Linked DNA regions of Caenorhabditis elegans. The protein of the gene in region 3 interacts with the protein of the main gene of each other region in a pairwise test. Each region holds a gene or a part of one and is shown on either strand. Other genes may lie near its edges.

Evidence for each region.
Region 1: the proteins of mig-15 (region 3) and dct-1 interact in a two-hybrid assay, tested with the Caenorhabditis elegans proteins (one large-scale study listed by BioGRID).
Region 2: the proteins of mig-15 (region 3) and T28D9.1 interact in a two-hybrid assay, tested with the Caenorhabditis elegans proteins (one large-scale study listed by BioGRID).
Region 4: the proteins of mig-15 (region 3) and uaf-1 interact in a two-hybrid assay, tested with the Caenorhabditis elegans proteins (one large-scale study listed by BioGRID).

Annotation. Positions count from the first base shown.
Region 1 is NC_003284.9:7,950,460-7,957,690, forward strand, and holds dct-1 (NIP3 homolog), read left to right. Parts: upstream 1-3,896; 5' UTR 3,897-3,915; coding exon 3,916-4,111; intron 4,112-4,293; coding exon 4,294-4,549; intron 4,550-4,980; coding exon 4,981-5,151; intron 5,152-5,201; coding exon 5,202-5,244; 3' UTR 5,245-5,727; downstream 5,728-7,231. Other genes in the region: sfxn-2 (Sidoreflexin), read right to left, coding at 5,916-6,063, 6,108-6,210, 6,261-6,388, 6,903-7,175. UniProt on the Caenorhabditis elegans protein: Initiates apoptosis in a BH3-independent mechanism possibly by recruiting ced-3 to mitochondria and other cytoplasmic membranes. Has a role in lifespan and tumor growth. Required for the induction of mitophagy under stress conditions.
Region 2 is NC_003280.10:6,489,369-6,495,807, forward strand, and holds T28D9.1 (uncharacterized protein), read left to right. Parts: upstream 1-3,033; 5' UTR 3,034-3,037; coding exon 3,038-3,159; intron 3,160-3,416; exon of another isoform or gene 3,417-3,549; coding exon 3,550-3,673; exon of another isoform or gene 3,674-3,721; coding exon 3,722-3,817; exon of another isoform or gene 3,818-4,022; coding exon 4,023-4,070; 3' UTR 4,071-4,410; downstream 4,411-6,439. Other genes in the region: snr-3 (putative small nuclear ribonucleoprotein Sm D1), read right to left, coding at 1-92, 307-385; rsp-5 (putative splicing factor, arginine/serine-rich 5), read left to right, coding at 801-988, 1,040-1,291, 1,619-1,697, 1,743-1,850; T28D9.11 (uncharacterized protein), read right to left, coding at 2,440-2,625; twk-49 (Potassium channel domain-containing protein), read right to left, coding at 4,495-4,610, 4,668-4,851, 4,898-4,999, 5,557-5,649, 5,703-5,861.
Region 3 is NC_003284.9:10,421,251-10,432,035, reverse strand, and holds mig-15 (Serine/threonine-protein kinase mig-15), read left to right. Parts: upstream 1-3,461; coding exon 3,462-3,506; intron 3,507-3,884; coding exon 3,885-4,052; intron 4,053-4,347; coding exon 4,348-4,545; intron 4,546-4,592; coding exon 4,593-4,833; intron 4,834-5,453; coding exon 5,454-5,597; intron 5,598-5,796; coding exon 5,797-6,184; intron 6,185-6,272; coding exon 6,273-6,393; intron 6,394-6,637; coding exon 6,638-7,195; intron 7,196-7,504; coding exon 7,505-7,591; intron 7,592-7,693; coding exon 7,694-7,804; intron 7,805-7,887; coding exon 7,888-7,914; intron 7,915-8,224; coding exon 8,225-8,707; intron 8,708-8,754; coding exon 8,755-9,090; intron 9,091-9,167; coding exon 9,168-9,246; intron 9,247-9,294; coding exon 9,295-9,515; intron 9,516-9,753; coding exon 9,754-9,837; 3' UTR 9,838-10,381; downstream 10,382-10,785. UniProt on the Caenorhabditis elegans protein: Involved in cell migration and signal transduction. Important in several developmental processes including epidermal development, Q neuroblast migrations and muscle arm targeting.
Region 4 is NC_003281.10:1,072,661-1,080,492, reverse strand, and holds the start of uaf-1 (Splicing factor U2AF 65 kDa subunit), read left to right. Parts: upstream 1-3,937; coding exon 3,938-4,167; intron 4,168-6,017; coding exon 6,018-6,313; intron 6,314-7,832. Other genes in the region: Ras-related protein Rab-18, read left to right, coding at 12-88, 151-206, 282-535, 587-811. UniProt on the Caenorhabditis elegans protein: Necessary for the splicing of pre-mRNA. Binds to the polypyrimidine tract of introns early during spliceosome assembly.

The DNA.
Region 1 (7,231 bases), 2.5 Mb from region 3:
GGTTACCACTCTAAAGGGGTAAAGAGGATTAGAAATATGTGTCATTCTATGAATAAGTTCAAACAATACAACATCTTCTTTAAGAACACATCGCGTGATGGCTGCTTCAACGTCTTTTTCTTGAGTTTTTTTTTTTTCCAGAAATTCATTATTATTTTCTAGAAGTTGAGCTTCCAATTTTCCATAGTCAAAGAGAGTTAAAGACGTAAAAATTTAGTTACTTTAGTTTACTTCAATTTTATAAAAAGACGTCTAAAACGAAAAAAAAATTGTGATGCTTCATAGTTTCGAAAAAAAGGCCTCAGTCTAACCAAAATCTTCAAATGCGCCGAAAATTATGTTTTATTGAATAATGTGCCGTTATTGAATTTAGCTCATTTATTAGGCATTTATGAATAATTTTGGATTAGCATTTTCAGTGGAACCTGTCAATTATTAAAAAAAAAAACGTTGTTTAAGCTTTTCTAAATGTACCTTTCAGGGCACTTTTCATTTCGAGAATACTCAAGTTTTCAGTATATGAAAACTTATCGGTAATATTTATTTTCATGTAGTTAGTACATCCTACAGATAAATTTCAAATCCGTTTTCAGAAATTAAAAAAAAAAATTTCGAAAGAATTTTCCACATTATTACGTGGACCAATTTTCGCAAGAGTTTTTGACGTAAAATCGAGAAAATTGGTCCATAAAACTATTTTTAAATCTAAAATCACGTTTGTTTCATGTCTAAAATGGACTTCAAGCTTCTCTACAAAATGCGAAATTTTCAACAATACATATTCACATAGAGAACATAAAAAGAACACCAAGAGTTTCTTGACGTTTCTGGAATTTTTTGAATTAAAAATTCTTACACTTCGTATTGATATGATATTCCTTAAAGTTGTTGAACAGTTTATCCTCTCTTTTCAGGTAAAAAATCACCTCACTAGAACCTAGTTTTTGAAAAATGTAATCTCCCCAACTGCTAATTCAACTTCACTGGTTAATGCTCCCATATAGTCGATATAAAATTCCTCATTCTCCTCTTTTCTCTGTTTTCTCTATCGAATAGTTTCAACTATAAAGAGAGAAGAGAGTAACGCTCATTATTCAGCGAATAGAGCGCCGTCTCGGCTGGCAAGAGCTGCCTGCCAATTGGCATCTCCAATAAGTCCGAGTGTGTGTGTCCATTCCACGGCTACATACGCATCCAATTCTAAACATCAGCTGATCGTCTCCCCCGCTGCGTCTCTTCATTGCGCGTGCTCTTTATGAACTTTTCCGCCTGCGTGCGACTGGTCATGTGCACTTTTTGCATGCGGTCTCACATGATTTACCACGTATTCCTGGCTGCTGCCTGTCTTGACGTGCTTGTTGGTGAACCACCACCCTTTTACCACTTCTTCCACCCCTTCTCTTTTATCCACCCATCGATTCGTGTTCTCCGTATCTCGTTCTCTATTCACGGCGTTCCCCTCCTCGGCCTCCTTTTGGTAAATACGTGGTGGTCATATGACTAACAGCCGGGAAAAGAGAAAGAGCCCCCCCTGTGACTTTTCTGTTTTCCTATGCCTGATTCTCGCAAAAAAATTTCTTGTGTATCTTGAGAAGAATAATTAAGAAGTGAAGCCAGTTTTTTTTGGTTTGGCCATTCTAACTTTCTTGTCGATTTCGAATATTTTTTCAGCTTTTTCAAAAAAAAACCCACCTCAGTCTCAAAATTTTCGCAATAAGAAGTACTATTTGAAAAACTAATAAAGGTGGTATGCATTATCGTTTGTTTTTTGTCTATCCGCAAAAGCTCAATTCCAATCCTCAGAACAAAGTTTGTTTATCATTCATAAAACAAACATCAATCAAACACCTCCTTATCTATTTTTCTACCCATAGAACCATTTTTATGTCAAACTGTCTGCATCTTCTGTACCACGCATAATCTTATTTCAGTTCAATCAATCTACACCTGTGTTTCTTGAAAAACATGTTGGTCTACGTGCAACAAGTACGATCCACATGTGAACATCATATGATTGCATCACATTCGCCTGTTCAACCCTGTTATATTGGCGGATAGAGTAGATAGTAGATAATTGCGACCCAAATCTTCTTTAGTAATTTGCTATTCGTTTTATTTGTCTTAATTGTTGTGACCGGTGTCACTTGCAAGTTCGACTTTCGAAAAGTGGTGAGGTGTATCATGTGAACTTTTTGATTTTTCATGATGGGTGCCCGCCTGTCAACTCGGTTTTCGATTCAATCACATTTCCGTGCAAAATTCTGGCCAACATGACATTTAAGAAGTTCACAATCTGATCAGATTCTTATTTAATTAGTAAGACAAGTTTGTGGAAAGAAGTTTCTTAAGTTATTTCATATTAGTTTGTATGCATCAGTTTTGTTCTTCTACCTAGTTTTTCAATAATTATTTTCTCATCTACATTTTCCATTTCTTTTTTAGAAACAATATCTGGTTTGTTGGCAATACGGTCACATGTACTTCGGAAAAGCGAAAATGCGAGCGAAAAGTGAGACAGAGAGCGTCTGTGTTTGTTGGTGTATCACGCGACATAATAATATGCCTGGCTGGGTGCCAATTCTACCATTTTCCTCGAATTTCTGATTTCCTGAAATTCGCCGCAAGTTTATTGGCTTTTACTAGGATTGAGAACCTTCATTTCCCCCTTTTTTCAGTTGGTTCAAACTTTTCAGAATCTGATTTCGGAATAGTACATATTTTCCACGACTCTTTTATCTCAAAAATCAGCCACCTGACATCAATAACGTTGATTTTTTTCTTAAATATATTTCATAAATTTGCCCTGTTTCTTTTACTCTTCTCATTTCTCCACAGTAATGTTATTTTAATTGCCTTTCTTAATTTCAAATTTTTATGTCGCATCACGTGTTGCGAAAAACACCCGTCTCAAAACCACAGTTGATCACGCTGAAAGCAAGTTTGTGAGTAAAAGTAGTGAAAATGAGTAAAAAACACGCGTGAGCAGGCATCTCGTTTTCTGACTATCTAATTAGCTACACTCTTTTCCATTTAGTTCTAAAATTAGAAGAGAGAACCAATTTTTGTGAATTTCTTGAGAAAAAAAGATGGGTTGCAATATTTTTTAAAAAACATTCTCATAAATTCTTTAAAGAGAGCTATGAACCTATGCTTTATTTGAAAAATACTCAAGGGTTATCAAATAATAAAAGCCGAATACGACAAATGTTTATTAGTTCCAATCCATCAAATAAACCTTTTCCTATTTGGCAGTTGAATATATATTTGCTCACAAATATAATACATTTCTGGCTTTTGCTCTTTTTAATTCACAACTATTCTGTTCTCATATTAAATCGATTCAATCCGGTCATCTCATCTTTCTTGTCGTCCACCCACCACGAAAAACAAAACAATCGCGTCTCAAACATTCGCAGTACACCACACAGAGCGTCTCAGATAGCACAAATGTAAATAAGCAAATAAATAAATAACTGACTGGCTGACGGAATGAGGTTTCAAAATAAAGTAAAATTTAACGACTTTGTGAAAAGCAAAATATTTTCATTCGTCTCTCCAGTTTTTTTTCCGGGTATTTGCTCTGTAGAAAAGGTATTATGAAATTTTTTGTCTAACGGACCTCCTTCACTTTTGCCCCCAATTCTGTTTTATTGGAGAAAACGTTTATAAATAAACTACGCCATCTGCTTGTGTAGACTCTGAATTTGTTTGTTGATTTTGTAGAGTAGATATGAAGGACCTAGCAACACCTGCATCGTTGGGTTGCTATAACAACTCGTATTTATTGTTAACCCGTAACTACTTCGCTATTTCTTAATTTACAATTTTACAAGTTTCGATTTCTTCTCATATTTGTAAACACAATTGGTAATAATAGTATAATAGTAATGTTTCAGAGACGGGTCTTTCCTAACAATGTCCTCATTTCTTGAGTTTGCAAAACCCAAAATGCTCGATATCAAAAGAAAGATCAACTTTGCGTCCGGCGAGAAGACGGATGAGTCTGTGCAACCGCAACAGCAGACGGAGCAGTCATCGGCTCAACAGACAACACCATCCGCAAAAGCCGTCTCAAACCCATTTATCACCCCATTGACCGAGAGTACACCTGGTTTGTTTTACTTTTTTTTCATTACACTTTTGCCCTAGGCAAATCGTTAGATGAATTCTCATGTGACCGATTGGGCTTTTGATTTTTTGAAAGTACACACATCTTTGCAAGTTTACAAATTTAACACCTATTCACTTTTCACTAACTCCAACTTAAATTTCCCATGTTCTTGAACGCTTCAGGTATGTCAGAATCGTGGGTGGAACTGGCACCAAGCCGTACCAGTTTGTGCAGTAGCGTCGATATTAATATGGTGATCATTGATGAAAAAGATAAGGATTCGAGGCTGAGCCCAGTCTCAATCGCACAATCTCCTCACGTGGAATTCGAGAGCTTAGAACAAGTAAAGTACAAGTTGGTTAGAGAAATGCTTCCTCCCGGAAAGAATACTGATTGGATTTGGGATTGGAGCAGTCGGCCAGAAAATACACCTCCAAAGTAAGTTTTATAGCTACTAATGGGTTGAAAGAAGCTTAGTTATTTAGACTTCAAAATTAATTTAGAACCAGGGATGCGCTGCATTTGCTAACCAGCAGTTCTACAAAATAAGCCAGCATGGCATGTTCTCAAAATAATTCTAAAAAACGCAGATACATTGTTGAAAGATTAAAACTGCTAGAGAAAAGTTACATAGTTTGTCGGACTATTTTCAGTAATTTTCAACTTTCAATCTAAACTAAAATATGTTTGCTAATTGAAAATTTTCTAAAAGAGATTTTTTGAAAATACTTTTATATTCCATACCTAAATGTTACTGAAAATATTGGAAGAACATGTTGCAAGGTTCAATTTGTAGAATTGCTAGTCGACACCCCTGCTCAAACCATACCGATTTTATTCTGTGTTGAAAAAAAAAACAAAATTTGCAGGACTGTCCGTATGGTTCAATATGGCTCCAACCTTACCACTCCGCCAAACTCTCCCGAGCCAGAGCTCTACCAATACTTGCCATGCGAATCTGATTCGCTTTTCAACGTTCGCGTAGTCTTTGGTTTCTTAGTCACCAACATCTTCAGCTTTGTCGTTGGAGCAGCAGTAGGGTAAGTATTTTTTTCAGGAAATTTCTTCCAGAAAAACTGATTGTCTTCAGATTTGCTGTTTGCCGGAAACTAATCAAACATCATCGTCAATAATTCCAAACAAAAATTTTAACGTTCCACTTACCTCATTTCACTGTACATACATTCCAGCAGTGCTGGAGATTGGGCATTTTTACCCTTTGATTCACAATACTACATTCTCTGCAAAATTCTTCCGGAGTCTTCTTGCATCTTGTCAAAAAGATTCGAATAAACAATAATTTTGCCATGTTTCCCTTCTCTCCAAATTGTCATCTTTCAAACTGTCTCCTGAATATTCCTAATACTCAAAACATTCCTACTACAGTTTTGAATTCAACACATCTAATCGCGATTTGCTCTCACGATTAGGTAATTTTAAATTAATTATGTACATAATATAGCTTTATACACTGAATGTAATTACGACTTTTTCTTTGCTGTTACCTGGGCATTTTGATTCTGAAACTTGCTTTTCCATGTTTTTCTGTCATCACAAATTGTAAATATTTCTAAAATACTGTTACAAAACCACGCATTTTAATAAAATGTAAATATATTTTTGTTTAGTTATGATTAAATTTATTATGCTGGAATTTTTAAAAACTGATAAGTAGACAATTGCACAGATGTTATTAATTGCACAATTCAAGAAATGTCTACAACGAATCATTCTAAATACCAATTTGCACGGAAATAAATTAAGCTGAAATCTATGTTTAGTTAACTAAAAGCTCATAAATCGCTTATAATCCTTTGTTGAAGTACACTCGATCTCCCTTGATATTTTTCAGTTTTTCAAAGGCTTCGGGCTCCCATCTTTTCAATGTTGAAAGCTTCACAGAGTTTTGCTGAGGGAAGAGAGCGCATCCGACAGGAATCATTGCACCATAACTAAAATTCACATTTGTTGTCTAGAAATATGACTGCTCTCTCACATCACAAAAGTTAAAGCCAATTGAGTTGGAATGTTGAGTTTGTTGATATGCTTCCGGAATGAGGCCACTTTGTTCAAGCCTTCCATGATGACAGGAGTGAGGACTAAAATGAGGCATGAAGCATGACAGGAAAAGAGTAACGGCTAAACTCACTCATGCATGGGGCAACGATAATATTTCTGGAGAGAACCACCAGGGAGATGGCTTTAGCTGCGGCTAACCGGGAAACTCCAACGTTGTTTCCATCGGCATCAGTGACAGTCATACCTTCTTTGAGTTCACTTTAAAAAAATGATTTAAAGAACTTTTTGAAGAGTCAACATTTCCACTATTTAAATTCAACTCATAAAATTATACCCATATGCCAACAATAACGTGAAAAACCTCAATTTATAGGTCAACACATTTCCGAATTTTTTTTACGGTTTCTAGTTGAATACAAAAGTAGATGGTCTTCAGTTTACAAAATAAAAATACCATAATGGTTCAGCTGCAACATCATAGACAGCCTTATTTTAGAAAATCCAGTTTTTCATTGACCTCTCTTCATTATTAATAACTTATTGCATATAAGAAAAAAGTCAAAAGCGGAATGATTTTAGGAGTTTTACGTTTTGATTTTAATTTTGAATGGGTTTCAAAATAAATCACTGATAAGAAAGCAAACTTTAAATTTCTGTACTCCTAAATTTCAAAGCTTTCAGATTCAGGGCTACAAAGTTAACCTCGGATTAAAAACATTTAAAAACTTGGTTGAAACTAAAAAATACTGATTATTCTCTAATAAGTACTCACTTCTGACGCATCATAGGGATGTTAATAGCATTAGCCACTGCAACGGCTCCCAGTGGTACTAATCGTTGAGCCAAAGGACTGCTCTGTTTCTTAGCAAAATATGTTTTCAGCCCAATTGCCATTGCCAGTGCTCCAGACACTGCTGTAGAATACGATACAACTAAGTCTTTTGTTGTCAATGTGCTCTTTGCATTTCGATTGGTATAATTGACCAGTGCATTAAATGACTGATTTGCCCATTGCCAGAAAATTACAGCTGGCGTCGATTTGTACCTGGAACAGTAATTGGTTTACTTACTTTTATACTTTTACTTACTTTTACCTTTTAG
Region 2 (6,439 bases), on a different chromosome or scaffold from region 3:
CGTGTCGAGTTTGACTGGCTCCTTGTTCTTAACTGTCATTGAGACGGCACGAAGATGTGTGTTCATCGCAACATCGACTCCCATGATAGTGCCTAAATAAAATCGATTTAGTTGTTTAGTTACGTTTTTGCAGTAATTAAAATTATACAATATTATTCGGATTTATGACTTTGAAAATGTATCCTAATATAAAAACACTATAACAAATGTCGAGCAATTCGTGAAAGATTGATTTTGGTTGGTTAATAACTCAACTTCTCGATTAAAACACTTTCAAGCAGACAATTAATCTTAAAAAATACTCACCGGACACCTGAGTACCGTTCTTCAATTCAATATTGACGGTCTCGTGAGACAACTTCATCAGGAATCTGACCAACTTCATTTTTCTACCTGAAATACATACAATTATAGAAGAATAAAAGGAAACGATGGAATTCAATAGAAAATACGACGATAAAAATAACTTTTAACTGATAAGAAAGAGGTTATGACAAATAAAAACATCTGCATCAAGGAAAAATGTTTCAAAACAGATTTCCAGTGACTGGAATCCAGTCATTTTGAGCACATTCGAAAATGCAAAAGACTTGGCGGCATGCCAAGTGGTCTCGCAACGACTAGGAGTACGGTCGCACTCGTTTTCATGTGTGCGCTTTTGATAGAATTTCTTTTTCTTGACTTAGGACTTTCTCTTCTTAAAATTGAGATTGATTTCTCGAATTCATGTGTTTTTTTTACTGGGCTTAATGAACGGCGTTTAATAAATTAATTTTTGAATATAAAGTGATTTTCCAGAAATGCCGCGCCTCTATCTAGGAAAAATTCCATACAATGCACGCGAACGCGACGTTGAGCGATTCTTAAAAGGATATGGCAAAATTAATAACATCTCAATGAAGTATGGATTTGCCTTTGTCGATTTTGAAGATTCTCGTGATGCTGAAGACGCATGCCATGATTTGGATGGAAAAACCATGGAAGGAAGGTAATAAAATAATAAACCAAAATTAAAAATGTTCTAACTTTTTATTTTCAGCTCTATGCGCCTTGTCGTGGAAATGGCTCGCGGAAAACCACGCGGCAATGACCGTCATGGATCGAGATCACCACGACGACGTTCCCGCTCTCCTAGACGTCGTTCACGTACTCCACCAAGAAGACGTTCCCGCTCTCGTGATCGCAAACGTTCTCGCAGATCCCGTTCCAGAAGCTCCTCCAGATCCAGATCACCAGTTCGTGAAAGTCGTCGCAGAAGCGAATCCCGTTCGCCGAGCCCGAAAAGAGACTTGTAAGTTAACTTTAATGTGTGGATTGTTTTGGAAGGGTGCCACATCACGAACCGTTTTAGCCACAGTTCAATGAGAAATCAATATCACCTACAAGCCCACATCGCAATGGCATACACATAGCTGAGACAGTTCGAGCACAGTATGGGTCAACTATCAATACATTTCAATTCACTTCTCGTTCAGTCCCCACAGTTACCAAAAGCCGCTGTTTCGATTAAAAGAGTGAGATCCCTAACTTTGAATCAGACAACTTCGCGCAAACATATCGGTTTCGTATTCGAGTCCTTTAGATTCCGACTCTATTAAATGCAAGAATTATATTTTAGGAAGCGTGAAGCGTCGAGATCTCGTTCACCACTGCCAGCAAAAGATCGAAGCAGAACCCGAAGTGGATCTCCCCCAAAGGTAATTCATTTATGTGCTTGTATAGTAAAAATCATATGGTTTCAGAACGGCGGAGATAGAAAGCGCAGCGTGAGCCGTGGAAGAAGTCACAGCCGAGATGGCAGCAATCGCAGTGTGTCTCGCTCTCCGTCTCCAGGATCTCCAAAGGATTAAAATTGTGTTTTTATACCGTTTACTGTTGTTCATTTACCACTTCTATTTTATAATATTTGTTCATCCTCAGAGCTGTTCTGATTTTAATAATTCCCGAATAAAACCGAGCGGAGACTTCCTTCATTTTTTAAAAATATTTAAAGGCACATGGTATTATTCACACAGGTCTCACCACGATTACTTCAACTACTGTACAATATTGGGGAATTTGAAGGTCGAACGCAATTTTGGGCTAATTTACTGCTTTGTTATTTTTACTGTTCTGGAAATTGCCGTTGTACTTTTTATAGTCATTATTATTAGAAAAAACCTTTTACGAGATTTTCGAGCTAATTTTTATACTCATATATTGAAATAGAACGCAAATTTTCGAGTTTTCTAAACAAAAAGCTTATCGTTTTCTATTCTCTAAATTGAAAAGAGTTGCAAACTAGGACAAAAACCGAAAAAAAGGCGAATTTTGAAAGCCTGCGAGTGATGTTTCCTTGAAAAATCTCGTCGAACATTTGTCGGTGTGTGTGTATTTGCCCCTTTTCGTTAGTTTTGTACAGTTAATGTTTACTAAATCTCGCGTTTTGATAATTACTGTTTAGATTAATTCACACCGCACGAAGCATGAATTTGGCACAGTGCCAAGAAAGCAGTCGACGAGAGGCTCTTGCGCAGCCGACGTTTGGGGCGGGGCCGTTTCGTTGTCGTCCTCTCGTTCTCTTGCCGGCGACGAGGCAATTCGAAACTCGCGGCCATCGCATTGAGGCTCTCCTCCCCTCCTCATTCTTCGTTTCGTCCGCTGTTGAGGAGTGTGAGTAGGACACCGCTTCCTTCGACCAGCCGGCCGCCTCTAGCTGTCCAGTGAGCGTTGCGTGAGTGTCAGGCACAGACTAGGCCGACGGTGGACGGGCGCGCAGCGCCGGGCCCTGTGAGGCGCGAGAGCCAAATAATAAGATGTCTCTTTCCGCGATAGAGTTGTTCGCGCTCTTCCTAGGAAAAAGTTTTCTAGAACATCGTTTGTGTTTTTGAAACGACAACACATCTAAATTAAAAAAAAATTTTTTCCTCAGTAGCAGATTTTTAATACAATAACTCGATATTTTTTTCTCAAAACTCAATGATATTTTCAAATGTTTCTTCTATTTCTCATTCAGATTTATTCACCAGCACTACATTAACATTTGTTTTACAGAAAAATGTCCGACGTTGCCGAGACTGTTGTCGCTCAAGAGCCAGAGGTTGTCGAACCAGTCGAGGAGAAGCCAACCGAGACTGGATCGGACGATGTCGTTGTGATTGATGAGAAGACCAGTGAGCAGTGAGTTTTTGTTTCATAATTTGCGATTTACCTGTGCATTTTTCTAAAACTGTAGTATATAGGTCAATTCTATGGAAATCGCGAGCCACTTTTTTGTATCCATCTGCGCGCGGGCGTTGAGTGGTGTTTTCCTTCGAGGTCACTCGTAAGACGTGAATAATGTGGGACGGTCATAATGGTAGAAACTGTTCTGTGAAAAACTGAGGGGTCATTCATATTTCTTTCTATGCCCTTTTATTTGTTCATAGTATGTGTATTGGTGCAGTGTGCAGAAGGCATGGTGCCATAAAGAAGACAGGCGGCAATGGTGAAAACAAATACGGCGTAGGGTAGTGAGCAGGCAACAGATTGCACTAATCCGTTTCTCTACAATTTATACTATTTTTGTAGGAACGGTGAAAAGACAGAGGAGACTCAAGCTGAGGCCACCGAGGAGAAGAATGAGACTGAGGCTGAAGAGGCCGATAAGGATAAGGCAGTCGAGAACGGAGAAGCAAAGGACACCAACGGCAACGTAAGATAGTTATATATTATTTTTGTTGACCAATTTTTATTTTTGCAGGATCGTAAGCGTGTGTCCAGCGCCCACGAAGAGGCTCCAGTCGCCGACGCAGAGGAGGATGCTCCATTGACCAAGAAAAGCAAGGTTGAGGATGAGGTGAGAACGAAGGGCAGGAATCTAATTAGGCATTCTAAAAAGATATAGGATAGGCGTATGCGACTTAGCACTAATTATGGGATATATCGGGGCGTAATGTGTGCGATGTACACGAGCAGTTCTGATGAATTCTTTATGAATCGCTTCATCTTCCGTTAGGGACTAATATTCAATGTCATTGTCAATAATTCGATTTCCCTTGCAGGTTGACGTCGCAGCCTCTGGAGATGCCCCAGCTGTCGCCGCCGAATAGGTTGCTTCCCAACAACAAATGCCACTTCATCCTTCCTCAAATTCCCCGTTTCAAAATCAACATCTTTATCATCAATCTGTACATGTTGACCAAATCCATTAAAAATGTACTTGTCCGATGTTTCGACAATTCTATTTTGTCTCTAAGCTGATCCCATCTTGATTTTTCTTAATATTGGATAATTCCCTCATCAAAAAAAGAATCTCATCATCTCCCTGGTGTTGGGGTTTTCCTATCGTTCCGTTTAAGTTAATTCGGATTCCCCTCTCCAGGTATTTGTTAGTTTTAACATTGTTTTATCCAACCTCTCACTGCAATAAAGTTAAAGTGGCAGAATCGTTGCATAAGCATTAAAGAAACAAGTGTTTTGAAATTGAAAATCTAGAAGCAATAAGCACGAAATAAATTATCAAAAGTTAAGATATTAGGCAGAGGTAAGCTTGCTTTCTCCAGCTTCATCTACGATGACCTGGAACTTTGGTGGTGGTGTGAGGCGCTCCAGCTTCTCCTCGACTCCATTGTCAACTTCTTGAATTAGCACTGAAGAAAAATATATTTTGGGGATATTTAAATTACTAATGGTTTAATTGAACTCACTTTCTTTTGGGAAGAAAACGGAAAACGAGACAAGTAGAATGAGGATAAGAAGAGAAACCGAAATGGTAGCAGCAAAGTTCAAGAACAGGATTCCGCAAGTTGTAATTTGTGCGGGGCTTGGAATTTGGACAGTAAGAGATCCAGTGAAAGCATGTAAAATGCTAAGCCAGAAGTCATTGATCACCTTAAAAACAATAAGATTCAAAGAGACTCAGATATGATGAAGATACCTGATAATAGAGACAAAGGCCAATGAGGATTGCCCAGAGAATAAAGAGACCAAAGGCCGCAAGAATGAGCAGGAAACGACGCGAACGAGTTAGTGATGGCCACTGAAACCTTATTCTTTTTAAAATTAAAAATGTAATCATCTTTATAAAATTATTAATGAAAACGTATTATCTATACGACTTTTTGTGGAAAAATACTGTGCCTGGTCTCGACATGACAAATATTTGGTAAATGCGAAAAGGCGTGCGCCTTTAAAGAGTACTGTAGTTGCAAACTCTTGTTGCTGTGGAATTATATCGTAGATTTTTCCTAGTCTTTCTCACGATGTGTTAAAATTTATATGTTAATGTTCCAATAGATTTTTTTCATCAATGCAATTTTTTATTAACCTTAAAGGCGCGCACCTGTTCGCATTCTACAAAAAATCGTCGTTTCGAGACCGGGTACCGTGTGATTTCACATGTACAGTTGGGATCTATGAAATTCTAACAATCTCGAACAATAAAAAATTTTCAGAAGTCTTCCTGGTTTCAAAAACATTCCGAACAAATAAAGTAAGTCATGGTCCTGTTTAATAAATACTTATGTATGCCTAAGCTTTTTCGTGATGTCATTGAAATATTATTTCACAACAAAAATATAACCTTCTTCCACTAACCTTTAAAACTGGAGATACCAATCGACAGACGATGAGTATCAGAGTACTGTAGAACAATGGAATACCAATTAGACAATAGAATACAGCAAATATCTAGAAACAAAAACACAAATTGAATTGAGGTAGAATATATTGCAGGAAATTACCTGGGAACCAACAGTAGCTGGAACTTTGAATCCACCACCGATCGTCAAAAGAAGAGAATACGCAAAATTAAAACTGCTAATCCAAGACCATTCACGACGAGAAGGAGGAACAATTGTTAATTTGTCTTCGTATCGTTTCAGAGATTCCACAAGTAGTTGCTGAAAATTTTTGGGTTTGAGGTAGGACTTGATGGTTTCCTCAAAGGAAAATAGGCGCCTGGCAAGAGTATTCCTGATTACAACGGAATTTTATATTTATGTTAATAGTTGTATAGTTCCATTTATTCTATTATCTGTTTCATTTTCATAATGAAAATCATTTGGGAATGCTCCAAACTTTTGATCTTACTATTAGTACATTTTTCATGTAAACCTTTCTCATCTTTTTCATTTTCTTTATCATTTCTCTCTCTCTCTCTCTCTCTCTCTCTCTCTCTCTCTCTCTCTCTCTTTTCTCTTTCTTTTAGTTTTGGTTTCCATTAGCAACCATATAATCTCTTCTGAATACATCTCAAGTTTCTGTCTCTATGTCCCTACTTATTTTTCCTCCTCCTCCTCTCACTGATATTATTCAAAACGAAAAAGGGAATCGAAGAAGGAAAAGATGGGGTCACAACGATATGAGGAAGATGGGCGACAATATTGACCATCCCTTGGGGAAATCTGACCAAAAATAAGAGCAATATATAGTAAGTTCTTTCAAGTGGAAGAGTCAAAAAGTGACGAATCTAATCACT
Region 3 (10,785 bases):
GTGCGCCTCCAGGCTTTCAAATTGTTTGATATATTATTCTGGCACGAGAAGCAAATAGGAAAGAATGGGACTTCTAAAAAAAGTGGGTGTATGTTTTTAGGAAGGAAAAGCTGCTGTTTCTAATGTACTGCTTGTGGGCACATTGTTTGGCTCTTTGAGCCAAAGTGTTGATCTTTTTGGTCCCGAAGGAGTTTTTTGTATGCCCTTGGTTGATCAATTTATAGAGTTGAGAACTTTTTAGTAAGGAATAGTTTTCTTGGGAAGTTTAAGTATTGGTATTACATCGAAAATTGTATTTTGAATTGTAATTCAAAGAAGAGTCTTGAACTATAAAGATTTTTTTTCAATTCAAGCATTGAGAAATTTTACATCTATTATAATAGAGGATGTTATTTTCAAATCATTGAATCTTCATGTTTTGTCCCGTTGAGGTTCCCTTCTTCTCCGAGAATTCTCTCCAAAACCTGTAAGCTCAAGTAAAATCATAGCTCAGCTTCATTTTTTCTTTAAGATGTCAGCTGTCTTCACAATTTTTTTGAACTTTTTGTTATGCGGATTGAGGTGTTGAGGGACTGAAGAAACTCCTACGCCCTTTCTTCCCACAAGTTCTTCACAACAGCTGATAAGAAATGGGAATGATACAGAAAAAGTGAAAAAATGAAACAGTGAATATGATTTCATTTAGTACGAATGAATAAACTGATTTGCATTTTGTGATTCACTATCGTTTTGTAAGGTGAAAAATATTCAGAAAACCATCCATCCTCCGCTCTGTTCTTTTTCGAAGTGTTTTATCTGATTCCCTACTAATGCGGTGATAAAATCGGCACTATCACCATGTGTACCCCCAGTCCATCTCTGTTCCAAGACGCGCGTTGTTGGAGGTCATGGTTATCAAGTTGTGTTGATAAAAAGTAGACCAGTCTTTTATTCTTTATTTTCAATTCGCTCTTTTCTCCTATTTTTCGTGTCAAATGAAAGAACAAGATAAGGCGGATCGGAGAGGTTTTAGAACCAATGCATCGCCACTGGGTGTCATCACTAGACCTTTGGGAACGCTGACTAATTGCTGTTTCACTACACATACATACACACTCTGGCGCCACTGGTCGTTTTTCATTCTGTTTCTTATCTTCCTCGTCGACTTTTTTCTCCCTATTCTTCCATATTTTTTGTCCTACAGCTTTTCAACTTCCTCTATCTATGACTTTTCCCTTTTCTCCGATTCATCAGAAAATGTATTCTGAGCTCTTTTCCACTTTTCGTTCTCTTCCTTAAGCAAGAATGGCAAAGTAAAAAGGAAAAAAGAGCAAGAATAATTTTGACTCCTTCCTCTGGGCTACTTTTTGAGAGCGGCTGTAGTACACTTCTAGAACAACATGAGGTCAAGCTCATGAGAATAGGAGGACAAGGGAAAAGGGGATTTCCGATCTATTGTTATGTACCGACTCACGTTTTCTTTTTTTTTATAAGAGTGATTCAGACCGGATTTTTTAGTAAAATTGTATTTTTAGTTCAATGTTATACTAAAATAATTTTATATTATTGTCTATTTTAAAACGTAACTGTAAAAAATTCGCATTCATTGTTTTTCATTTGAAGAATGTCTCTGAAAATTCTTTAATTCAAAAATGGCAATATTCACATTGTTGTTTTTTGTCGAAAATAAAAAAAGTTGCGGGAACTTCGAAATGCGAATCAAAACTTGTCGTATTTTCTTGATCATTTTTACACACCATGTAATTATTTTGCTACTTCATATTTTAATTCAGTATCATAAGCTATAAAAATTAATGGTACTTGTGTATTATTTCCCCTTAATTTTTTGAAATTGATTATTAAATAAAAACGTGTGGAGTTTTTTTTTTCATTTTTAGGCATAGTAAATTACCATTTCTAAATTAATAAGCTACAAAGATATTCAGAAAAAGATATAGCTTATAAGCTGTCAAAGCAAAGCATTCGGTGCAGGACATGGAAAACTTTTAAATGAAAACACGTGTTTTGAAATTAACATATATTTCAAAATATGAATTCTACATCAGAACATGTTGTGAGCAATTCAAAATTTTCAATAAATAATAATTTTGGCAATAGATTCATGTTGTAAATTAAAAAAATCAGGCAATATATTAATATTTTATGGTTTTTTGATACAATCCTTTTTTTCTTCTGAAAAAATTGTTCCCGAAATGGATACTATGTAGGCTAAATAAAACGTTTCCACAAGAATAGTTTTTGTTTGTAATTTAAAACCTCTCCTTCTTTTTGCAACGTCTAAATAGGAAATATACCTCAATGTGCCATAACCTTGTTTTTTTTAGCCATGAGCGTCACTAGGATCTAGTGGTCGTAGAGACAAATACCATCGCTAAATCATTGTTAATCGGCCATTGGAGAGAATATTCGTTAAATTGATACATCTACCCCTTACTCGATCCCCCTTCATTTATTCACCATCATTAATATCTATTTAGAAGATAAGCATCATTTCATCTCAAATCAATATAATAAATGTAGATCACCAAACAGAGGCATCCCGCTATTCTCACTCAGTCGGCAGCTATATGTGATGCTGCTGTTGCCTTTTTGTGTGTCTTCTTTGGGAATGGACAGGCGCTGTTTCCATTCTTCTCCACCAGCGTCTTCTTCATTCTTCGTCCGTCCTTCATCATTATTCGGGAAAACGAGCGGGGGAATGAAATGGAGAGAGAGAGAAAGGCGGACGTCGGAGGCCTTCTTTTCGGAATCAAGGCGAATTTCTTGCGGCCTTCGATCATCCCTCACTCTCTTTCACAACCTTGTCTGCTTGACCCGATGATGTCTTTTGACCGCTTGTCAATTCAAATTTGCACGTCTTGATTGCTATCAGAAAAATTTAAAATTGCGAGCATTTTTAGGAAATTTTTTTTGCAGCAACAGAATATGAGTTATCCTATTCAACGGTTGTCTGAAACTTAAAAATTGATAATTCTTTCCAACATTATAAGAAAAATATATTGTTTTTGCAGAAAAAACACTTAAGACTTTTCTACTTTTTGAACACATTTAAACAATTTGTGCATTCTCATTTTTTTCCTCTATTTCCCGGCTGTGTAACAATGCTGGACGCGTCCGTCCTCCTTGTGCCGTCCACTGGTCTTTCTCCGACGTCTTTGATGATGCATTCCTTATCGATCTAATTTTCTTTATCACAACATGTGTTTTTTTTTCTGAAACAGAATGGTTGCTTCGTAATAATCTTGGAAACAATATTTTATTTTGAGTCTTTAGATGAAAACAATATATTTCTGTTTTTGTTACTTTTGATATAATCTGAAAATTTTTTTCTGTTTTGTTATACTTCCTGTTTCTTGTAATTTACAATAAGTGTTTTTTTTTTCAGATTCAAGTTAAATTCAAGGAGTCATTGTGTGGTTTAAGTGTCGGCTTGCTCCAAGCCGCTCACAGCACCCAAAACCATGTCGTCATCAGGACTCGACGAGATTGATTTGAATTCTCTAAGGGTGAGTATTCGTGACCACCCATACATCAAGTAGAATGCGCACAATGAATTTACTGAAAAATGTTAATTTTTCTATTCAGTCTGGGTTATCGCCCGTGAAATTAATGGTGTTTCTATAGAAAACTACCTTTTGAAGTTGAATGAAACAATCAATTTTTGTCAGCTTTAAATTTTTGTCTCAAAACTAAGAAAAAGTGTATTTCGCAACATTCACACACACACAGACGAAGTCCCACTTTCTTTCTTCGAGTGTGTGTGTGTGGTGTAACAATTTTAAAAAATCATGTTGCTCTCTTCTCAGAAATATTTACAGCTGAGTAGGGGAAAGAAAATGCGAAACTACACCAAACAACACGGAAATCACAATGATTTTTTTCAGGACCCGGCTGGAATCTTCGAGCTAATTGAGGTTGTTGGAAATGGAACTTACGGGCAAGTGTATAAGGGTCGACACGTTAAAACAGCGCAACTTGCTGCAATCAAAATTATGAATATCAACGAAGATGAAGAAGATGAAATTAAGTTAGAAATTAATATGCTAAAGAAGGTATGTGTTTTGGTTAAACAAAAATATTCCTTTCAAAATTCCCCAAATATGAGAAATGGAATTAAACCTATTTTCGAATTATTAAGTTGTCCAGAATTTTAAATCAGTTAAAAAGAAAAAAAGAAATATCTAATTTCTGATAAATACATTTATAAATTATATTTGTATGAATTGATGAAAACTTAAAAACGAAAGCTATTTTGAAGACAGTTTTGAAATAGTGTGAAAAAGAAATTTCAAAAAAAGGAGAACACATCGATGAGGTCTTACACGGAAGAATCAAATTGATTTGCAGCACTCCCACCACCGGAACGTAGCCACTTATTATGGTGCTTTCATCAAAAAGCTGCCCTCTTCGACCGGAAAACACGATCAATTATGGCTGGTAATGGAGTTTTGTGGAAGTGGTTCTATCACCGATCTTGTAAAAAACACAAAGGGAGGCTCTTTGAAAGAAGAATGGATTGCATATATTTGTAGAGAAATTTTGAGGGTTTGTCTTTACCGATTCTCAGACATTTTCAAATGTATTTCTTATAGGGACTTTACCACTTGCATCAAAGCAAAGTTATCCATCGTGACATAAAAGGTCAAAATGTGCTTCTTACGGACAGTGCTGAGGTGAAGCTGGTAGATTTCGGAGTATCTGCACAACTTGACAAGACAGTTGGAAGAAGAAACACATTTATTGGAACACCATACTGGATGGCTCCCGAAGTTATTGCATGTGATGAAAGCCCTGAAGCTACTTATGATTCACGTTCGGATTTATGGTCTTTGGGTAAGTAATGACGATGTGTAATATAAAAAGTTTTTATAAGGCTTGGTATCAGCATTTCACTGATTTAAACACTGAATTTAGCAACGCACCCAAAATATATTTCTCAATTTTATTAATTTAATTCTACTTACAATAATAATCAAATTGAGGTAAATTGCAGAAAACTAACGCTGATTTCCTTCTCTAGAAAGCTGACAACAAAAAAATATGGCTATCAGCTTACTATTTCGAGAAACTAATTTTTTGGAAAACTTTAGCTAAATGAACACTGAAAACTAAGTTCTTTTCTAATTTGAAACTTTTAATATACATATTCAACGTCATTTAATTTCCAAAAGTGTTCTAGTAGAGCTATAGTCTGTTCTTGAACATACTATTTTGATGTTTTTTCTCACTATTCCAATATTTGCTCCGTCTCCTTCAATTCCCTCAACATATCTCCCTCCGGACATTTTCGTTGTGTTTGTGTCTGCTTTCTTTCATTATTTGCATTTATGTGTAAATGGGCACAAAATTCGTAGTACAACAGCATTAAAAAAGCAAAAAAAAACCAAACAGGGGTTTTGTATAAATGGAAAATGACTCATGGAGTTTCAAAATCTTATTGTTATCCAATTTAGGAATCACGGCATTAGAAATGGCGGAAGGTCATCCACCGTTGTGCGATATGCATCCGATGAGAGCGTTATTTTTAATTCCAAGAAATCCGCCGCCAAAGTTGAAAAGAAATAAGAAGTGGACCAAGAAGTTCGAGACTTTTATTGGTGAGTTTTTTTGCAGATAATTTTTCAGTCCGATTATATGAAACAATAAATTGTAAAAATGTGTCGCTATTCGTATTTTTGAAACAGTTTTGCAAATGGGTTTTTGCTGAAATTTTAAGGAAGCACGCACGGGCAAATAGAGTACATTCCAAACAATATTTTCAAGTCTAAATGATGCAGGTCAAGTTTTAAATTTCAGAGACTGTACTTGTGAAGGATTACCATCAAAGGCCCTACACTGGAGCCCTACTTCGTCATCCATTTATCAAAGAACAACCACATGAGCAAACGATCCGGCATTCAATCAAAGAGCATATTGACCGAAATCGGCGGGTGAAGAAGGATGATGCAGACTACGAGTATTCCGGCAGTGAAGATGATGAACCATCTCCGAACAATCGTGGTCCTTCAATGGGCATTCGAGATGACTCGGAGAGCAGTTCAATGATTCCAATGGATAACACATTGCGTAAAGGCTTTCAAAAATTGCAAGAGAGTAGTCGTGGTTTTGCAGAACCAGGTGCTCAGCAGCTGAGGAGACTGCCCCAGCAACCAGCACCAGCTCCATTCCAATATCAGCAGTCTCGGTATGTCACCACTTTCACTCAATACTTTTCACAGTTCAGATTTGACGTTGTTCTCTTAATAGTTTCATTGTAAATTTGAAACCTTCAGATACGTTGAGCCAAGACGAGAATCATCCGAAGTCAAACTGAGGGCTGTTTCATCTAGAGGAGCTGCCGATGGTCCACGTCATTCGCCAGCATCAAGGCCACGGCCCGTGAGTCATCATCAGGTTTTGTTTTCTTACCTTCCTTTTAATATTGTCTAAACAGTCATTCAGTACTAATAATATACTAATAATAACAAACATTAACAAAGTTGAAGCATGTAGGGTATGAACGATTCAAATAACCAGTTGAGGTTTTTTTTAATAATAAAAATAATGGAGGCTATACAGAAAAAATGTTTGTTTACCTGGCTTAAAAGTGTTTGTAGTGTAGTTTTAAAAGTTTTAAATAACGTAAATAAATTTTCAGCGATCTCCACAACAATCCCATCCTGCAGCCCCACACTTGGCGGATTTAGCAAACTATGAAAAAAGAAGACGATCGGAACGAGAAGAGCGACGGGAAAGAGAACGTCAGGCTCACCACGCTATGCCGATTGCACGTGTTTCTGCAAGTGTACCTGCTCCACAACAGTCTCGAAAAATGTCAGAACCCCTTCTGATCACTCATGTAAAACCAGAAGATCTTGACGTGCTCGCCAGTGAGCTTTCTAAAATGGGCGGTCATCACAATGGACGCAGTCGCGAGGAGAGCATGAGCCCACCGCCACCGGCGCCACCACCGCGTGAGGCATCGATCTCGTCTATCACAGACACGATTGACGTGGGTGAATTGGATAATGGAGCAGATGCGGAGTGGGACGATTTGAAGGACATTATGATGAACGGAGAAGGCACACTGCGCGGCCCGAATAAGCCGCTTCCGCCAACACCGACAGATGGCGAGAATACACTTGTGTCAGATGTGCGTCGCAATGGAAATGGAAATAGTGGCCATGGGGCTTACAAGGGAAAGAAAATTCCAGAGGTTGGTAGTGTGAGATGAGCGAAAATATATACTCGTTTCTTTATTTTTTTTCAATTATCTAAATTGGTGCATTTCAAAAATCGATAATATCAATAAGATGCTCACTTTAAAAATTAAATAAATATGAAAAAGCCAATTAAAAAAATAAAAACACTACTGTTTCTGTAGCAGCTATTTTCAAAAAATTATAACTGGCAATAACATAAAGGTGCTTTTAAAATAAAAGGAACTGCCACGACGCCGGGAAAATTTGAGATAAGCTTTCACAACTCAATTTAAAACGTATTTAAAAAACAGAATATTTTCTAGATTCGCCCTGGAATTATCTCTCTTGACGACGACGACAGCGACTCGGACAACGAGGAAGGCAACGAGCCCCTTATGTTCAAACCAATTGTACGTTGTCCCTTCTCTATTTTTTTTTGGTTTCTCTCGGCCAATGTTATACATAGTGTTGACGGCTCTATACCACTCGTGAAACATCTTATTTGGTTCCAGAACGCCTCAAGCTCGCGCGGCGCCCTGCCAGATCTCTTGCCCAAATCGCCACAACTCCGCCGTCAAATAAATGACCAAACACGCCAGATGAGTGACGATCGTGCAGATGAGGTGAGTGTTTTGATTTGAGAATAATATATGTAGTGGAAACCATAAATTTGAACGATAAAACATGTAATTTTATAATTATGTAGAGCGCCTCTCTATTTGGAAGTTTTTATGTAAGTTACTCGATTTGAAATGACAGAATTTGTTGTGATTTTCCGATTTATTCCCCCTTTGGTTAAACTGTTGGTCATCTTTTCAGAAAACAAATCATCCTGTGTTTTATTGTTTTTGATGCTGGTTATTCAGTTATTTTAATTTTCGAAAGATATGTAGTTCTTCTTTGTTGCGGTTCTTTTTTTATTGTTTCAATGTCTTTGGATATATTTTTGATGATCAAAAATCAAAATACAAATTTTTGTTGAAGTGATTATATTTTGTCAGAAGATAAATTTTAATAAATAATAAAACATGATTTGATTTCAGCAACCAAATGGATTCCAAAACTCTGACAGCCGTTCATCAATTCAGCATTCATTTTCGAATCGTGATCGCGAAAAGTCATTTGTTGGATATTTTGGTGGTGGCGCCGGAGCCGGTGGTGGCACAGTAAATCGACCAGGGAGACCGCAAGACATTAACCAAGTTCAAGTTAATGTGACACCAAATTCTAATGGAACACCAGCTGAGAACGATGCTCCAGAAATCAGGAAGTACAAGAAAAAGTTCAGTGGAGAGATTTTGTGTGCAGCTCTCTGGGGAGTTAACTTGCTTATTGGAACAGACAGTGGACTTATGCTTTTGGATCGAAGTGGACAAGGAAAAGTTTACCCGCTCATCAGTCGGAGAAGGTTTGATCAGATGACGGTTCTCGAGGGACAAAATATTCTCGCAACAATTTCCGGAAGAAAAAGGAGAATCAGAGTGTATTATTTGAGCTGGCTCCGTCAGAAAATTTTAAGAACAGAGGTATGGTTTATAAACATTTTGGATATATCTAATTTTATGTCTTATAGGGTGCTGGAAGCGCCAATACGACTGAAAAAAGAAATGGATGGGTTAATGTTGGAGATTTGCAAGGAGCCATTCATTTCAAAATTGTTCGCTATGAAAGGATAAAGTTCTTGGTAGTTGGTCTAGAGTCGTCAATTGAGATTTATGCGTGGGCACCGAAGCCATACCATAAGTTCATGAGTTTCAAGTCATTCGGATCTTTGAGTCATGTTCCTTTGATTGTCGACTTGACAGTTGAAGACAATGCAAGACTCAAGGTTCTTTATGGATCGACAGGTGGATTCCATGCAATTGATTTGGATTCTGCAGCGGTCTATGATATTTATACGCCAGCACAGGTATGATAACTTCAGAATAAGAATTGAAAACAAAGATGAATCATTTAAATGTTAGCCTTTTATTTTTAATTGTTTAGAGCGGTCAAACTACGACTCCACATTGCATAGTTGTTCTTCCAAACTCCAATGGAATGCAACTCCTTCTCTGTTATGACAGTGAGTTTTCAAAAATAGTATTCACTTCTTTATCTATTCTTATTTCAGATGAGGGAGTATATGTTAACACGTACGGAAGGATGACAAAGAATGTAGTCCTGCAATGGGGAGAAATGCCAAGCAGTGTGGCGTACATTTCAACGGGTCAGATTATGGGATGGGGCAACAAGGCGATTGAGATTCGATCCGTTGACACTGGCCATTTGGATGGAGTGTTTATGCACAAGAAAGCTCAGAAGCTGAAATTCTTGTGTGAGAGAAATGATAAAGTAAGCTTTTTTAATATTTTGTCTTTACGAAGATTGTTGAAATTATTCCGTTCGTATGATTTTTTTGAAAACTCCATTTATGTGCCTCATAATGATAGTGCATATCAAAATTAATCTTAATGGATTTATTATTAAAAATGTGGTTTTTTTGTGAGGAAATATAATACGCATTACATAAGTACCCATAAGTGTACACAAAAAGTTTCGTATCTTCATCATAATTTCTAATTTTCTTCAGGTATTCTTCTCGTCTGCGAAGGGTGGAGGGTCTTGCCAGATCTACTTCATGACCTTAAATAAGCCAGGGTTGACAAATTGGTAAACTGGTCTCGAATCAATCGTTTTCCATTTTTTAAAATATGTATTTGTAAAATAATCATTTATCAAAAAAAATTAATAATAATTGTTATGGTCGTGTGATTGTTGTCGTCATGAGAACCATCATTCTCTCCCGTTTCCCCGCTTTTAGCCAATTTCAAAGTCATTTTCTAACCATGAAACCATCTCGATACTATTCCCTCTTCCGCAACTGTATTTCAAGCATCCATCCAGGATTTCAAATAACCTAATATGTTAAAATCTACACTTTCCTCTTCATTTTCCCCGTTTCAAAATGTTTATGAATAAAGATAAAACAACAAAAATTTGCTCACAATGTGATTAAATCGCTTTTTAGGCATTTCATGTACATTTCCGTCACCCTTCTCCAAATCAAAAGTGCTCATACTCGTATTATTTGAATATTATCCTAATCATTTTTCAAATTCCTCCGTCCAATTGCCTAATCATAATTTTCTTTGTTCTAGTTCTGATTTATTTTTCCTTTGAATAATTGTCTCAAAATTTAAATAAACAATTAAAATCCTAACGTTTCGATTAGTTCAAGTGAAAAAAAAACAATACTAAGTTCAGTCTATGACGTTTCAATTAATGGAAGCAAAGATGGAATGGCTATCAGATTTTTTAAATCTCGACAATAAGAAACTGGTAATCTACAATGATCCTACTGCATGCCTCTAATTGTTCACATTTAAAAAAAAGCTGAAGTAATAACCTTAACCTTGTTATCTACAAATTGCTAGCAAAAAGTTTTGATTCTTCTCCAATAAAAAAGGAATTGATAAAACGTATTTCCTCTATTAGTCTTGCATGCAAGACTAATTTTCGATTGGACCGGGTTGCAATACTAATAGAGGAAATAAGGTATATGCGTTCTACTTGAATGATACCTTAATTTCTTAAAATACACACGGAACAGAAACGATATGAT
Region 4 (7,832 bases), on a different chromosome or scaffold from region 3:
ACGAATTCCAGATGTCCGACGACAGTTCAAGCCCCCTCACAACTCTCAAAATCCTGATTATCGGCGAAAGTGGCGTAGGGAAGTCGAGGTGAGGGGTTTTCTCGCCCAAAAAAAATTTAAAAAAATCAATTTAAATTCAAAAATTTTCAGCTTAATGCTACGATTCGTGGACGATGTCTTCGATCCTGAGCAGGCTGCAACGATAGGTTCGTGGAAATTCCAGGGATTTTTGGATTTTTTGATTTTTAGGCCAAAAAAACCCTAAATTTATTGTTTTTTAGGCGTGGATTTCCGCGTAACTTCAATGGCAATCGACGGAAATCGTGTAAAACTCGCAATTTGGGACACCGCCGGCCAGGAGAGGTTCCGTACCCTCACGCCGAGCTATTATCGTGGAGCACAGGGCGTAATTTGCGTGTATGACGTCACTAGCCGCAGCTCCTTCGAGAAATTGAATCATTGGATGCAAGAAGTCGATACTTATTGCACAAATGACAATATTATCAAGATGATGGTCGCGAACAAGATTGATATGGTGCGAAAAAGCCGATTTTGTTCGATTTTTGGCCTAAAAAATAATTTTCAGCCAAATCGAGTGGTAACCCGCGAGGAAGGCCTAAAATTCGCAAAACGCCACCGCACACTATTCATTGAAGCTTCTGCGAAGACTAAGGAGGGTGTACAGTGCACATTTGAGGAGCTTATCGAGAAAATCATTCAAACGCCCGACTTATGGGACAATGACCGCCCGTCTTTTCGGTTGGGACAACCGACGGGCTCCAGTGGTGGCGGCGGAATGTGTGGATGCTAGGAAATTCTCGCGGAAAATTCGTTCATTTTGACATAAAATCGATATTTTTACTGTAAAATTCATCAATTTTCACCTAAAATCCTGTTTTTTTCATGTAAATTGTCAAAATTTGACCTAAAATCCTGTTTTTTCCATGTAAAAACGTGAATTTCGGTTTAAAATCGCCAATTTTCCCTCAAAATCGCCGTTTTTTCCATATAAAAATGTCCAACTTTGGCTTAAAATCGCTGGTTTTTCATGCAAAGTTTATCGATTTTAACCTAAATTAGGCCTTTTTCCATGTAAAAATGCAAATTTTCCCCTAAAATCGCCAATTTCCCAGCAAAATCGCTGTTTTCGATGCAAAATTCATCAATTTTCACCTAAAATAGCCCGTTTTTTTTCATGTAAATTGCCAAATTTTGACCTAAAATAACCATTTTTTCATGTAAAATCGCCGATTTTGGCTTAAAATCGCAAATTTTCCCCCATAATGGCCGTTTTTCATGGAAAATCGCCGATTTTGGCTTAAAATCGCCAATTTCCCATCAAAATCGCTGTTTTCGATGCAAAATTTATCGATTTTCACCTAAAATAGCTATTTTTCCCTGTAAAAATGTCAATTTTGACTTGAAATTGCCAATTTTCACCTGAAATCCCCGTTTTTCATTCAAAATTTATCGATTTTCACCTAAAATAGCTATTTTCCATGAGGAAATGTCGATTTTGGCTTAAAATTGCCACTTTTTCATGTAAAAATGTCAATTTTTCTCAAAAATCGCCGTTTTTCGTGCAAAATTTATCGATTTTCATCTAAAAAAGCTATTTTCCATACAAAAATACCAATTTTGGCTTAAAATTGCCACACTTTTTCATGTAAAAATGCCATTTTTTCCATGTAAAAACGACAATTTTCCCCCAAAATCGCTGTTTTCCATGTAAAATTACCAATTTCGGCTCAAAATTTCCAATTTTCATGTAACATTTATCGATTTTCACCTAAATTAGCCATTTTTCCGAGCAAAAATGCAAATTTTGGCCTAAAATCGCCAATTTTCCCCCAAAATTGTCGTTTTTCCGTGTAAAATTCATCGATTTTCACTTAAAATAGCTATTTTCCACGCAAAATTTATCGATTTTTACCTAAATTAGGCCCTTTTTTCATGTAAAATGTCAATTTTGACCTAAAATCGCTGGTTTTTCATGCACAATTCATCGATTTTCACCTAAAAAAAAAGTTCTTTTCCATGTAAAAATGCCAATTTTGTCTTAAAATTGTCAATTTTTCCCCAAAATTGCTGTTTTTAATGTGCAAAATTCATCGATTTTTCCGCGAAAAATCCCCGTTTTCCATGCAAAATTTATCGATTTTTACCTAAATTAGGTCGATTTTCCCCCAAAATTCCCCCATTTTTCATGTAAAATTCGTCCATTTTCCCCGCTAAATTGTACAAAAAACCACCCGAAAATCCCCCAATTTCACATAATTCTTGTCAAATTTCACACATTTTCAGTGCCTTTAAGCCCCGTTTTTTTGCTATAAAATTGCAACATTTTTCCTGTAATTTATTGGATTTTTGTGTTATTTTTTCTCTCGTTTTCAGCGATTTTCAGCATATCTTCATCGATTTTTTGCAGATTTTCAGCTATTTTTTTATCGATTTTTTTGGGAGATTTTTGTCATTTTTCACCTAATTTTATTGATTTTCAGCCTAATTTTGTGTGTGCTTTTACCCATTTTTCTATTATTTCCATCATTTTCCCCGAAATTTTATAGATTCTACCTATTTTTCAGCAAAATCTCATTTTTCAGCGATTTTTCATCATTTAAGCTATTTTTTATCGATTTTCACCGAATTTTCAGCTATTTTATCAGAAAAATCTCAGTTTTTTCCGGCAAATTCACTCAAATTTCGCCTATTTTAGCGAGGAGCTCTTTTTTCCAGCATTTTCACCGAATTTTCTTTTTTTTTCGTAAAAAAATCACCAAATTTCCTCATTTCCAACCTATTTTCTCCATTTTTTCGCGGTTTTTCCCGAATTTTAAACAATTTTTCGCCAAAAAACCCCAAATTTCTTCATTTCCAACCTTTTTATTCCATATTTTCGCCATTTTCTCGGGATTTTCAGCTATTTTTTCCAGAAAAACTCCTATTTTTTCGGCAAATTCACTCAAATACCGTTTATTTTCTCACAATTTATCGTTTTGGAGCTATTTTTCCAGCATTTTCACCGAATTTTAAGCAATTTTTTAAAAAATCACCAAATTTCCTCATTTTCGTCCAATTTTCTCCATTTTTTCGCGATTTTGAGCAATTTTTTCCAGAAAAACTCCAAATTTTCTCACTTTCACCCTATTTTTTTCCATATTTTCGCCATTTTGTCGGGTTTTTCAGCTATTTTTTCAGAAAAACCTCCATTTTTTCGCGATTTCCACCGAATTTTCAACGATTTTTCCAAAAAATCGCCAAATTTCCTCATTTTCGCCCAATTGTCTCCATTTTTCCGCGGTTTTCCCCTGATTTTCGGCTATTTTTTTTTTCAGAGAAACTCATTTTTTCGCGATTTCCACCGAATTTTCAGCTATTTTTCCATTAAAAAAACCCATTTTTTCGTGAATTTCTCCGAATTTTCGGTTTTTTTTTTCAGAAAATTCGGAAAAATTGGAATTTTTCACTGAAAACTCTGAAAAATTCAATAAAAATTGGATATTTTTACTAAAAACTCGGGAAAATTCGTGAAAATTGCCGTTTTTCACGTGAAAATTCGAGAAAAATTGAAAAATGTGGAATTAGTATCCAAAAATGCTCTCGGAGCCCAAAATTCAGGAAAATCCTGAAAAAATTAACCAATTTTACTCAGAAAACTGCAAAATTTTTTTTTCAGTTTTTCTCGCAAAAATGTGCTAAACTCTCAGATTAAAATTCAATTTTCCGTGGCAAATGTGCTCTATCGGTGATTTTGGTGTGAAAATTCCAAACTTTTGCATTAGAAATTACAAAATTTTGGAATTTTCCACCCGAAATTGCTCACAGGAGCACATTTGACCACTTTCCCGGGGAACCTCTGCCCAAATTTTCAAATTTTTCCATCCATTTTCTCCGGATTTTCAGCTCTATTTTTTAAAGAAAATTCCCAATTTTCCAGATGAGTGATCACCAGGATGGCATGAAACTTGAAGATATTGAACGCCAATTTTTGGACGTTGCTCAACGTGAAGGAGGTCTCGAAGCGATTCAGCCGACCACTGGACCACTGGAAAATGAAGAAAATCTGAAATCATCGACTGGTGGTGGTGGTGGAGAGGATGATAATGATCGGAAAAAGAGAAAACGATCGAGAAGTAGAGATCGCGATACGAGAAGACGCTCGAGAAGGTGCTTAAGCTGGAAAAAATTGCATTTTTTGACGGAATATTCGAGAATTTTCGTGGAAAACTCGGCGAAAATCGAGTTTTCCGCTAGAAAATTGACCCAAAATCGGATTTTTAGGAGGAAATTTTGTTTTTTTTTGGCCAGAATTACGCTGAAAATCGCTTTTTGCATGAAAAACGGCTTAAAAATGACTTCAAACCCAGAAAATCAACATTTTTAGAGCAAAAATTCGAGGATTTTCGTCGAAAACTCTGCGAAAATCGAGTTTTCCGCTAGAAAATGGTCTAAATTTGAAGAAAATTGACCCAAAATCGGATTTTCAGAGCGAAATTTGATGATTTTCCATGAAAAACACTACCGAAAATCCCATTTTTCCTGCCAAAAAACTCTTTAAAAAATCGATTTTTGCTTGAAGAAATCCACCAAAATTTTCATTTTCTTTGCCAAAAATCTATGAAAAATCGATTTTTTCACAGGAAAAGCGGAAAAGATGCAATTTTAGCTGAAAATCCACCGAAAATTCGCATTTTTTACTTTGAAAAATCGCAAAAAATCGATTTTTCCTTCCAAAAACCTCCAAAAAATTGCAATTTTAGCTGAATTTCCACGGAAAAGTCAAATTTTCTGTCCAAAAGTTTGCAAAAATTCGATTTTCAGTTGGAAAATTGCGTTTTTTGGTCAAATTCCACCGAAAATTCCCATTTTTTAACCTAAAAAGTTGTAAAATATCGATTTTTCCTGCCGAAAACCCCGAAATTTTCAGTCGTGGAAGCGAGAAATCGCAATTTTAGCTAAATTTCCCACGAAAATTCCCATTTTTTTAACCTAAAAAGTAACGATAAAATCCATTTTCCTGTTCAAAAACTCGCCAAAAATAGATTTTTTAATTAAATTCCACCAAAAAAATTCGCATTTTTCCGCCCAAAAACCTCCAAAAAGTCCCAATTTTAGCTGAATTTCCATTGAAAAGTCTAATTTTCTGTCCAAAAAACCGCAAAAAATCGATTTTCCAGTGGAAAATTGCGTTCTTTGGTCAAATTTTACCTAAAAATTTTGAATTTTTACAATAAAAAGTGGCGGTTTTTACTCAAATTGTACTGAAAAACGCAATAAGAATGGTTTTTCTGTCCAAAAATTTGCGAAAAATCCATCTTTCCGCCCAAAAACCTTCAAAAAATCGCAATTTTAGCTGAGTTTCCACGGAAAAGTCAAATTTTCTGTCCAAAAGTTGGCGAAAAATCGAATTTCCAGTGGAAAATTGCGAAAATTTACATTTTTAACTTAAAAAATCGATTTTTCCTTCCAAAAACCTGCGCGAATCTGACAAAAATTGCAATTTTTCTGCATGAAAACTCATTTTTCTAGCCAAAAAAGTGCGCAAAAATCGATTTTTCCCCTGGAAAATTGCGATTTTAGCTGAAAATCACTGAAAATCCGCATTTTTTAACCTAAAAAATCGCAAAAAATCGATTTTTCCCGCCAAAAACCTGCGAAGCTGCCAAAAATTGCAATTTTTCTGCATGAAAACTCATTTTTCTAGCCAAAAAATCGCGAGAAAATCGATTTTTCCCGCCAAAAACCTGCGAAACTGCCAAAAATTGCAATTTTTCTGCATGAAAACTCATTTTTCTAGCCAAAAAATCGCGAAAAAATCGATTTTTCCCGCCAAAAACCTGCGAAACTGCCAAAAATTGCAATTTTTCTAGCCAAAAAATTGCAAAAAAAATCGATTTTTACACTGGAAAATTGCGATTTTAGCTGAAAGTCACTGAAAATCCGCATTTTTTAACCTAAAAAATCGCAAAAAAATCGATTTTTCCCGGCAAAAAACCCCAAAAACCCCCCATTTTCAGTCGTGATCGTGGAGAACGTCGTGGTGGTGGAGGTGGAGGTGATCGTGATCGTTCTCGATCCCGTGAACGTCGTCGAGGCGGTGGTGGTCGTGATGAGCCGAGACGTCGTGGAGGTGATGATGAAGCCCGTTCGCGCCGTGAGCCGGAGCCCCAGAAGCCTCGTGAGCCCAAAAAGTACCGATTCTGGGATGTTCCGCCGACTGGATTCGAGACAACTACACCGATGGAGTACAAGAATATGCAGGCGGCTGGACAGGTTCCACGTGGATCTGTACAGTCTGCAGTGCCCGTTGTTGGTACGGAAAAATGGAATTTTTCGCCTGACAATTCGGAAAAATTCGAGAAAATTGGCGGTTTTTGCCTGAAAATTCGGAAAAATTCGAGAAAATTGGCAGTTTTCACTGAAAATTCGGAAAAATTCGAGAAAATTGGCAGTTTTCACTGAAAATTCGGAAAAATTCGAGAAAATTGGCAGTTTTCACTGAAAATTCGGAAAAATTCGAGAAAATTGGCAGTTTTCACTGAAAATTCGGAAAAATTCGAGAAAATTGGCAGTTTTTGCCTGAAAATTCGGAAAAATTCGAGAAAATTGGCAGTTTTCACTGAAAATTCGGAAAAATTCGAGAAAATTGGCAGTTTTCACTGAAAATTCGAGAAAATTCGATTTTTTCACTGAAAATTCGGAAAAATTCGAATTTTTCATCGAAAATTCGGAAAAATTCGAATTTTTCATCGAAAATTCAATAAAAATTGGATATTTTTACTAAAAACTCGGGAAAATTCGTGAAAATTGCCGTTTTTCACGTGAAAATTCGGGAAAATTTGAATTTTTCACTGAAAAATCGGAAAAATTGGATTTTTTACTGAAAATTCGGAAAAATTGGATTTTTTCACTGAAAACTCTGAAAAATTCAATAAAAATTGGATATTTTTACTAAAAACTCGGGAAAATTCGTGAAAATTGCCGTTTTTCACGTGAAAATTCGGGAAAATTTGAATTTTTCACTGAAAAATCGGAAAAATTGGATTTTTTACTGAAAATTCGGAAAAATTGGATTTTTTCACTGAAAACTCTGAAAAATTCAATAAAAATTGGATATTTTTACTAAAAACTCGGGAAAATTCGTGAAAATTGCCGTTTTTCACGTGAAAATTCGAGAAAAATTGAAAAATGTGGAATTAGTATCCAAAAATGCTCTCGGAGCCCAAAATTCAGGAAAATCCTGAAAAAATTAACCAATTTTACTCAGAAAACTGCAAAATTTTTTTTTCAGTTTTTCTCGCAAAAATGTGCTAAACTCTCAGATTAAAATTCAATTTTCCGTGGCAAATGTGCTCTATCGGTGATTTTGGTGTGAAAATTCCAAACTTTTGCATTAGAAATTACAAAATTTTGGAATTTTCCACCCGAAATTGCTCACAGGAGCACATTTGACCACTTTCCCGGGGAACCTCTGCCCAAATTTTCGATTTTTCCAAATAAAATTCTGTAAAAAGTGCAATTTTGCCAGATTTTTTGCTTCAAAAGCTCAAAATTACCGTTAAAAAAGTCAAAAAATAAAATTATTCCAGTTTTTGGTTGAATTTTGATTTAAAAATCGGAAAATAGTGTGCAAAAATCTGACAAAGTTACGAAAAAAAACTAAATTTTTGCCCTGATTTTGATTTTTCAGTGCTGAAAAACTGTCGAAAAATCAAAAAGTGTCAATTTTTATCTAGAAAATTCGAAAAACTTCACTGAATTTTTGAATTCTCTCGCTGTTCCGTGGCAAATGTGCTCTATCGGCGATTTTAGGTCGAGAATTCCGAATTTTT